2 linked regions of the Macaca fascicularis genome follow. The protein of the gene in region 1 interacts with the protein of each later gene in a biochemical or structural test. Links are inferred from orthologs where the notes say so. Each region holds a gene or a part of one and is shown on either strand. Other genes may lie near its edges. The genes, in order: LMNA and EMD.

Region 1 (3,804 bases):
AGCAGATGCAAACCAACCTAATGCAAGGATGCCCTCTCCTGGTAGTTGCAGGGACAGCAGCGCCAGCCCCCATGGTTGACCTCTTGGGAGCCTGGCACTGTCTAGGCACGCAGATTCCTTCTCTTAAATCCACTCTCCCCTCTCTTCTTTAGCAATACCAAGAAGGAGGGTGACCTGATGGCTGCTCAGGCTCGGCTGAAGGACTTGGAGGCTCTGCTCAATTCCAAGGAGGCCGCACTGAGCACTGCTCTCAGTGAGAAGCGCACGCTGGAGGGCGAGCTGCATGATCTGCGGGGCCAGGTGGCCAAGGTGAGGCCACCCTGCAGGGCCTGCCCATGGCCCTACCTAACACATGTACACTCACTCTTCTACCTAGGCCCTCCCCCATGTGGTGCCTGGTCTGACCTGCCACCTGATTTCAGAGCCATTCACCTGTCCTAGAGTCATTTCAGCCACTGAGGCCACATCTTATCCTAATTTGACTGCCCATGGGATCTACCACAGTGAATTTAAAATAATCCAGGAGGCCAGGCGTGGTGGCTCACACCTGTAATCCCAGCACTTTGGGAGGCTGAGGCGGACAGATCACGAGGTCAGGAGATCGAGACCATCCTGGCTAACACGGTGAAACCCATCTCTACTAAAAATACAAAAAATTAGCCGGACGTGATGGCAGGCGCCTGTAGTCCCAGCTACTTGGGAGGCTGAGGCAGGAGAATGGCATGAACCTGGGAGGTGGAGCTTGCAGTGAGCTGAGATCGCGCCACTGCACTCCAGCCTGGGCGACAGAGCGAGACTCCGTCTCAAAAAAAAAAAAAAAAAAAAAAAAGAAGTGGATGGCTAATTACATATGGGACATGTGTTAATAATGCTTTGTGTATATATAGTGGCCTTTACTTTCAAAACACTCTTCTCCAGTTTATCGTGTTAAAAGCTAGGAATTGGGCCAGGCGTGGTGGCTCATGCCTATGATCCTAGCGCTTTGGGAGGCCGAGGCGGGTGGGTCATTTGAGGTCAGGAGTTGGAGACCAGTAATCCCACCTGTAATCCCAGCTACTTGGGAGGCTGAGGCAGGAGAATCGCTTGAACCCGGGAGGTGGAGGTTGCAATGAGCCGAGATCGGGTCACTGCACTCCAGCCTAGGTGACAGAGCGAGACTCCATCTCAAAAAATTAAAAAAATAAAAATAAATAATAAATAATAAATAAAAGCTAGGAATCAAAAAAGCAGTTTATTTCACAGTCTCATCTGTTCATAGCGGGGCCAGGATGAGAGTCAGTGGCCAAATTTCCATCCTGGGTTCTTTCCCTTCCCAGGCCCTAACATCACAGTGTACCAGGGAAAGACCCGGAGAAGCCACCAAACCAAGGCTGGGCCACCTTCCTCCTGGGTCTGGTCTGCTGCCTCCCAGTTGTACCCCTCCCCCAGCCCTTCCTGGATGCACTGATCAGCCTGTGCTTCCTTGCCCTGTTTTTCTTTTTCTTTCTTTCTTTTTTTTTTTTGAGGCAGAGTCTTGCTCTGTCGCCCAGGCTGGAGTGCAGTGGTGCGATCTTGGCTCACTGCAAGCTCCGCCTCCCGGGTTCACGCCATTCTCCTGCCTCAGCCTCCCGAGCAGCTGGGACTACAGGTGCCCACCACCTCGCCCGGCTAGTTTTTTTGTATTTTTTAGTAGAGACGGGGTTTCACCGTGTTAGCCAGGATGGTCTCGATCTCCTGACCTCGTGATCCGCCCGTCTCAGCTTCCCAAAGTGCTGGGATTACAGGCTTGAGCCACCGCGCCTGGCCGCCCTGTTTTCTTTATAAATAGAGACATGTTCTCTCTCTCTCTGTCTTTTCTTTCGAGACGGAGTCTTACTCTGTCACCCAGGCTGGAGTGCAATGGCACAATCTCGGCTCACTGTAACCTCCGTCTCCCGGGTTCAAGCCATTCTCCTGCCTCAGCCTCCTGAGTAGCTGGGATTAGAGGTGCCCACCACCACGCCCAGCTGCTTTTTGTATTTTTAGTAGAGATGGGGTTTCACCATGTTGGCCAGGCTGGTCTTGAACTCCTGACCTCAGGTGTTCTGCCCGCCTCGGCCTCCCAAAGTGCTGGGATTACAGGTGTGAGCCACCACGCCCGGCAAAACGTGTTTTCTCTATGTTGTTGAGGCTGGTCTTGAACTCCTGGCCATGAGAGTTCTTCCTGCCTCAGTCTCCCAATGTGCTGGGATTATAGGCATGAGCCACCACACTTAGCCCAGCCTGTGCTTTCTTAAATGAAAATCTAAGCATACGGCTGGGCGGATCACGAGGTCAAGAGATCGAGACCATCCTGGCCAGCATGGTGAAACCCCGTCTCTACTAAAAATACAAAAATCAGCTGGGTGTGATGGCGCGTGCCTGTAGTCCCAGCTACTTGGGAAGCTGAGGCAGGAGAATCGCTTGAACCTGGGACGTGGAGGTTGCAATGAGCCGAGATTGCGCCACTGCATGTCTTGCCTGGCGACAGAGTGAGACTCTGTCTCAAAAAAAAAAAAAGAGGCCAGGTGCGGTGGCTCACGCCTGTAATCCCAACACTTTGAGAGGCCAGCAGATCCCAAGGTCAGGAGATCGAGACCATCCTGGCTAACACGGTGAAACCCCGTCTCTACTAAAAATACAAAAAATTAGCCAGGCCTGGTGGCAGGTGCCCTTAGTCCCAGCTAGTCGGGAGGCTGAGGCAGGAGAATGGCGTGAACCTGGGAGGCGGAGCTTGCAGTGAGCCGAGATCGCACCATTGCACTCCAGCCTGGGTGACAGAGCAAGACTCCGTCTCAAAAAAAATAAATAAAAGGCCGGGCACGGTGGCTCAAGCCTGTAATCCCAGCACTTTGGGAGGCTGAGGCGGGTGGATCACGAGGTCAGGAGATCGAGACTATCCTGGCTAACATGGTGAAACCCCGTCTCTACTAAAAATACAAAAAACTAGCCGGGCGTGGTGGCGGGCGCCTGTAGTCTCAGCTACTTGGGAGGCTGAGGCGGGAGAATGGCGTGAACCCGGGAGGCGGAGCTTGCAGTGAGCCGAGATCACGCCACTGCACTCCAGCCTGGGAGACACAGCGAGACTCCGTCTCAAAAAATAAATAAATAAATAAATAAAATAAATAAATAAAAAATAAAAAATAAAAATAAATAAATAAATAAAAAAAGAAGAAAAGAAAATCTAAGCCTGGTGCTCCCCTGCTCAAACATCCTCAGGTTCTTTTCATGGCAGATAAGGGCATCTCTTCATGTGCCAGCCCCTGCCTACTGACCCAGCCACCTCTCCCATCCCTTCCCACCCCATACTTCAGGCTTCAGCAGGACTGATCTTTCCAAAGACCCCAGAACATGCATGCCTTCATACCTCTGTGTCTGTACATGCTTGTTTCTGCCCTTGAAGTCATGACAGTAACTCTCTGTAGGCCCTGCTAGCCTGTCCCTTGGGTCTTAGCCTCTTGGAGGCCTTCCCAGAGCCCCCCACAACTACCCCAGGCTTACTTTGGTTTCTTCTCTCATGTCCCCTCAGTACTTTGCACATACCTCCTTTATAGCATTTGCTATGTTGTGCCAGAGAAGGGAGTCCTGTGGTTGGGGGGGCATATATCTTTTCTTTTCTTTTTTTTGAGACAGAGTCTCGCTGAGTTGCCCTGGCTTGAGTGCAGTAGTGCGATCTCGGCTCACTGCAACCTCCACCTCCTGGGTTCAAGTGATTTTTGTACCTCAGCCTCCTGAGTAGCTGGGACTACGGCATGTGCCACCATGCCCGGCTACTTTTTTGTATTAGATACATCTTTTCTTTCTTAG
Region 2 (4,252 bases), on another chromosome or scaffold:
TTTTCCAGTTAAAACACCCACAGACTGCTGGTAGCATGCATGCAGCTTTGCCTGAATTTTTTTTTTTTTTTTTTTTGAGACGGAGTCTTGCTCTGTCACCCAGGCTGGAGTGCAGTGGTGCGATCTCAGCTCACTGCAAGCTCCGCCTCCCGGGTTCCCGCCATTCTCCTGCCTCAGCCTCCCGAGTAGCTGGGACTACAGGCGCCCACCACCTCGCCTGGCTACTTTTTTGTATTTTTAGTAGAGACGGGGTTTCACTGTGTTAGCCAGTATGGTCTCAATCTCCTGACCTCGTGATCCGCCCGCCTCGGCCTCCCAAAGTGCTGGGATTACAGGCTTGAGCCACTGCGCCCGGCTGCTTTGCCTGAATTTCTAAGTGGGTTCTCTGTATACGCCTTGTTGTACCACAATTATATGTATAAGCAGTTACAGGTGCTTTGGGGAATGAGTTAGGGAATAAAACTCCCAAACAAAACACAAACATCTCTGGGTAGCATTTGATTCCTATCCCCAGACCAAAGCAAAAATGCGGACCCAACAAAGCCAGATTGCAATCCTCGAGTCCCAAGACGCAGAGGCCCTTGCCATGGGAGCCCAACCCTCTCCTCCAGGAAGAGCCAACGCATTAAAAATAAATGGGGTTTTTATTGTGTGTCCACGAAAACAAAGGGTGGCCTTTGGTTAATCCCCCCCAACAAGATGACAAAAAGGAGGCATGCATGACAACAAGAACCATGTTCTCCTCTGACTGAGCGAGGCCTTGCCCTCCTGGACCCTAAGGGTTACAGGCAAGCAGGGCCAGGAGGCTGCCGAGGAAAGCACACTCAGGCCCCCATGGAGGGCCTGAATCTGCTGCCTCCCTGGTGGGACAAGGCAGGGGGAGCAAGCACTACTCTGGGCTAGGCCCAGCGCCCCCCAAGCAAGAACACATAAAAGCCCCTGCCCCTGCCCCTGCCCCCACACCCACCCCCACCCCCACTGCTAAGGCAGTCAGCCAGGACTTCCCCAGAAGACCTGGCTCTGAAGCCCAGACCCTCATGGCTCCCTCTGGAAAGGGTTGCCTTCCTCAGCCTGCATGAAGTAGTAAATGAAAAAGAGGACGATCACAAAGACCAGGAAAAGCAGCAGCTGGCCCCAGAGTGGGACCTGGTGATCCTGGCCCAGCCCAGCCCCAGGAGCATGGTTTTCAGGCCGGATGGCACGGCGGGTGAGCCATGAAGAGGAAGATGATGAGGACATAGAAGAGGTGGAGGAGGAAGTAGGATAATAGGACAGGTCCAGGGAGCTCCTGGAGGCTGAAACAGGGCGGTAGTGCGTGATGCTCTGGTAGGCACTGTCCCGGCCGTACATGGGGCGTTCCCTGAGGCAAAAGAGGGGAGCAGGTGGGCCAGGAGCCTGGGTCCAGAACCAGCCCCTGTCCCTGGCCTTCCCCATACATACATACCTATCCTTGCACTCCTCTTCAGAAGACGACAAAAGGTCGTCATCACGTACCTGTAGAAGAGAGTCAAGGTGAGGGAACTGGCTGGCAGGGCCACAATGGCCCTGCCACGTCCCTCTCAAATTTCCCCAGCAGGTCCCCTCTGACCTTTGGTTAAAGGCCAGGGACCCACACCCTCCTGAATGACTCTGGGTGTTCGGCCTTTTATCCATGGGGCCTTGCTACTTGTGCTCATGCCCCAGCATCCCCCTTTGCCCCCAGGACTCTCAGGAAGAGCTGGAGCCTAGATCCCAGACCAGGGTGCAGGACGCATCCTATGTGCTCTAGTCACATAGTTCTGAGGGCTCCCCAAAGTAGGACCCTGACCAAACAGGTGTCTGCTGAGCCAAAGTCTCCCCAGAGGCCCAAGGGCCACCATTTGTACCCAGTGGCCCCCTGGATTTATCCAAACACAGCCGCGATCCCCTAGGTTGTACCCAAGTACAGTACGCCTGCCAGCCAGCTCACCTGGTGGTGGAAAGTGTCAGCATCTGGGAGTGAAGTCACAGACTGGCGGAAGCCCCTGGACGGGCCCGCAGACTCGGGCTCCCCATAAGTCCTGGTAGTGAAGTAGCTCTCTTCATAGTAGTCGTCATTGTAGCCTTGGGAAGGGGGGCAGCGGTAGCAGAGGGGGCATCGGTGTGCCCCGCCTGGCCCGATGGCCCTAATCTGAATCCCATTTCGGGACCTGTGACAGTTTCTCCCTCCTAAGGCTGCTGGAGTGGTTGGGACTGAGGTCTCAGGTCCTCCCTGTGAGCGGGGTCCCTGACGCAGTCGGGTGAAGGTGCCAGCGTGCCCACCCAACCCCTGCCTTACCCTTGCTCTGGTAGAGTAAGGCGTCCTCTTTCTTGGGAAGATCATACATATCTGAATCCCCTGACGTCGAATTCAACTCTGGATTGAAAGGAGGAGACAGAACTGTTTGCCCCCCCACCCCCACCCCAAGGCTTCCCTCCCCTTTCCCCAGTGCCGCTCTCGACCGGCACCCCTGCCACACCCTCGCTACCTCATCCTCCCCGCGTCCCAGGCCGTCCCCACAGGCGAGGCTCTCACCAGAGAAGCGATAAGAGGAGGCAGCGGACGAGCCGGGGGGCGAGAGCCGCCGCCTCTGGGTCTCATACTCGAAGATCTTCTGCTCGTAAAGCCTACGAGTTGATCCTGGCCGGACACGGGGCGGTCAGGGCCGCAGTCCGGGGAAGGGGCGCGGGGAGGGCAGCGGGGAGGTCGCGGGGCGGAGCACGAGGAGGGGGCCCGGAAGGGGTCCCGCCCGCCGCCGCGTACCTACTACAGGCCCGTGCGGGATGTTGTACCGGCGCAGCAAGGCGGTCAGCTCGGTATTTGAAAGATCTGCGTAGTCGTCCATGGCGGGTGCGGGCTCGGGCGGAGGCCTGGCGGCGGCCCGGGCCTACCAAAACCGGCCGAGCAACGGCTGCCTAGGAGCACGGCGGGGGCGGCACGAGTGCATCGGGAGCGGCCGCACTCGCGTCACAGCCGAATCGCTGTCGCGTCACGGCCGCTGGCTCCGCAGGCTGCGCGCGCTGCGCTGGGCGGGACCAAACGGCGGGAGTAGCCGGCACAGACCGGCCGGGCCTTGAGAGCTGGGAGGCTGGGGCCGCGAGCCCAAACGTCATCAACTCACGGATTGGCTAGCGGCAGAGAGGGCGGGCCCCCGGGAGTCAGGGTGGTGGGAACCGGTCTCGCGGTGGGAGCGGGCGGGGCCGCAAGCCCATATGTCACAAACACGGGAATTGGCTAGTGATGGAGGGGGCGGGGCCCGCGCAGGCGCGGAGCAAAAGGTCTTGCGTTGGGAGCGAGCGGAGCGGAGAGCCCTTACGTCACAAACATGGGGATTGGCTAGCGATGGAGGAGGCGGGGCCCGCGCGGGCGCGGGGCAGAAGGTCTCGCGGTGGGAGCAAGCCGCGCCGCGAGGGGCGCCACACGTCACTAACGCACGGATTGGCTAGCGGCGTAGGCGGCGGGGCCCGCGCGGGAGTCAGGGCAATGCAAACTGGTATCGCAGTGGGAGTAGGCGGGGCTGCGGGCCCAAAAGTCACAAACGCACAGATTGGCTAGCGGCAGGGGGCGGGGCCCGCGCGGGAGTGAGGGCGACACGGCTGGGAGCCAAGACGTCACCCTGTGGCGCGCTTGAGCCAGCCGGGTGAGAGGGATGGGGCCTGCGCGCTAGGGACCCGGGACGTGCGAGCGGGCGAAGTCGGCGCTTGGGGTGGCTCTGGTCCCTAAGTCACTTGGACTTCGCCCGGTCCCTGCACATCCCTGCTCCCCGCCGTCGCCCCCCTTTCCTGGGCCCCAGAGCCTAGGGTTTCCCGGCCGCATCCCGGTCGGCCGCCCCGGCAGCGGACCCTAAGAGAGCGCGGGCCCGGGGCCAGGCACTGCCGGGGGCGCTTTGTGTGCGCATTGCTCGGGAAGCGGCTGCGGGGCAAGGCCCGCGCCTATGGGATCTCCGCAGACCCCCTGCCACGGGCCCTTCTTCCCAGTCTGCAGGGCTCTCGCCCGCGCACATGTGCCTGCTGCTTCCCACCGCCTACCTCTCTGCTTCCCTTCCTCCTCCCTCACTCTACCCGGGAGGAAATGGGGCACTGGGCCAGGAGGCCGCTGGCACTCCAGAAGCAAGCAGCCTTCGAAGGGGCCCGGGCATGCCGACGGGCACGCCAGTGGGCGCGGGCAGAGGGCGCCGTGCGATGCGTACAGAGACAACGTGTGCCCGCCTAATCCTTCATGCCGTTCATTCACCCGGGGCACTGGGGGGAGCTG

The links.
Region 2: the proteins of LMNA (region 1) and EMD form a complex in vitro, tested with the Homo sapiens proteins (4 studies listed by BioGRID and IntAct, with this or other methods). The link is inferred for Macaca fascicularis from reciprocal best matches to the Homo sapiens genes LMNA and EMD.

The regions. Positions count from the first base shown.
Region 1 is NC_088375.1:104,945,398-104,949,201, reverse strand, and holds part of LMNA (lamin), read left to right. Parts: intron 1-152; coding exon 153-309; intron 310-3,804.
Region 2 is NC_088395.1:160,349,857-160,354,108, forward strand, and holds EMD (emerin), read right to left. Parts: upstream 2,996-4,252; 5' UTR 2,844-2,995; coding exon 2,762-2,843; intron 2,639-2,761; coding exon 2,534-2,638; intron 2,375-2,533; coding exon 2,297-2,374; intron 2,083-2,296; coding exon 1,949-2,082; intron 1,495-1,948; coding exon 1,445-1,494; intron 1,361-1,444; coding exon 1,036-1,360; 3' UTR 626-1,035; downstream 1-625. UniProt on the Homo sapiens protein: Stabilizes and promotes the formation of a nuclear actin cortical network. Stimulates actin polymerization in vitro by binding and stabilizing the pointed end of growing filaments. Inhibits beta-catenin activity by preventing its accumulation in the nucleus.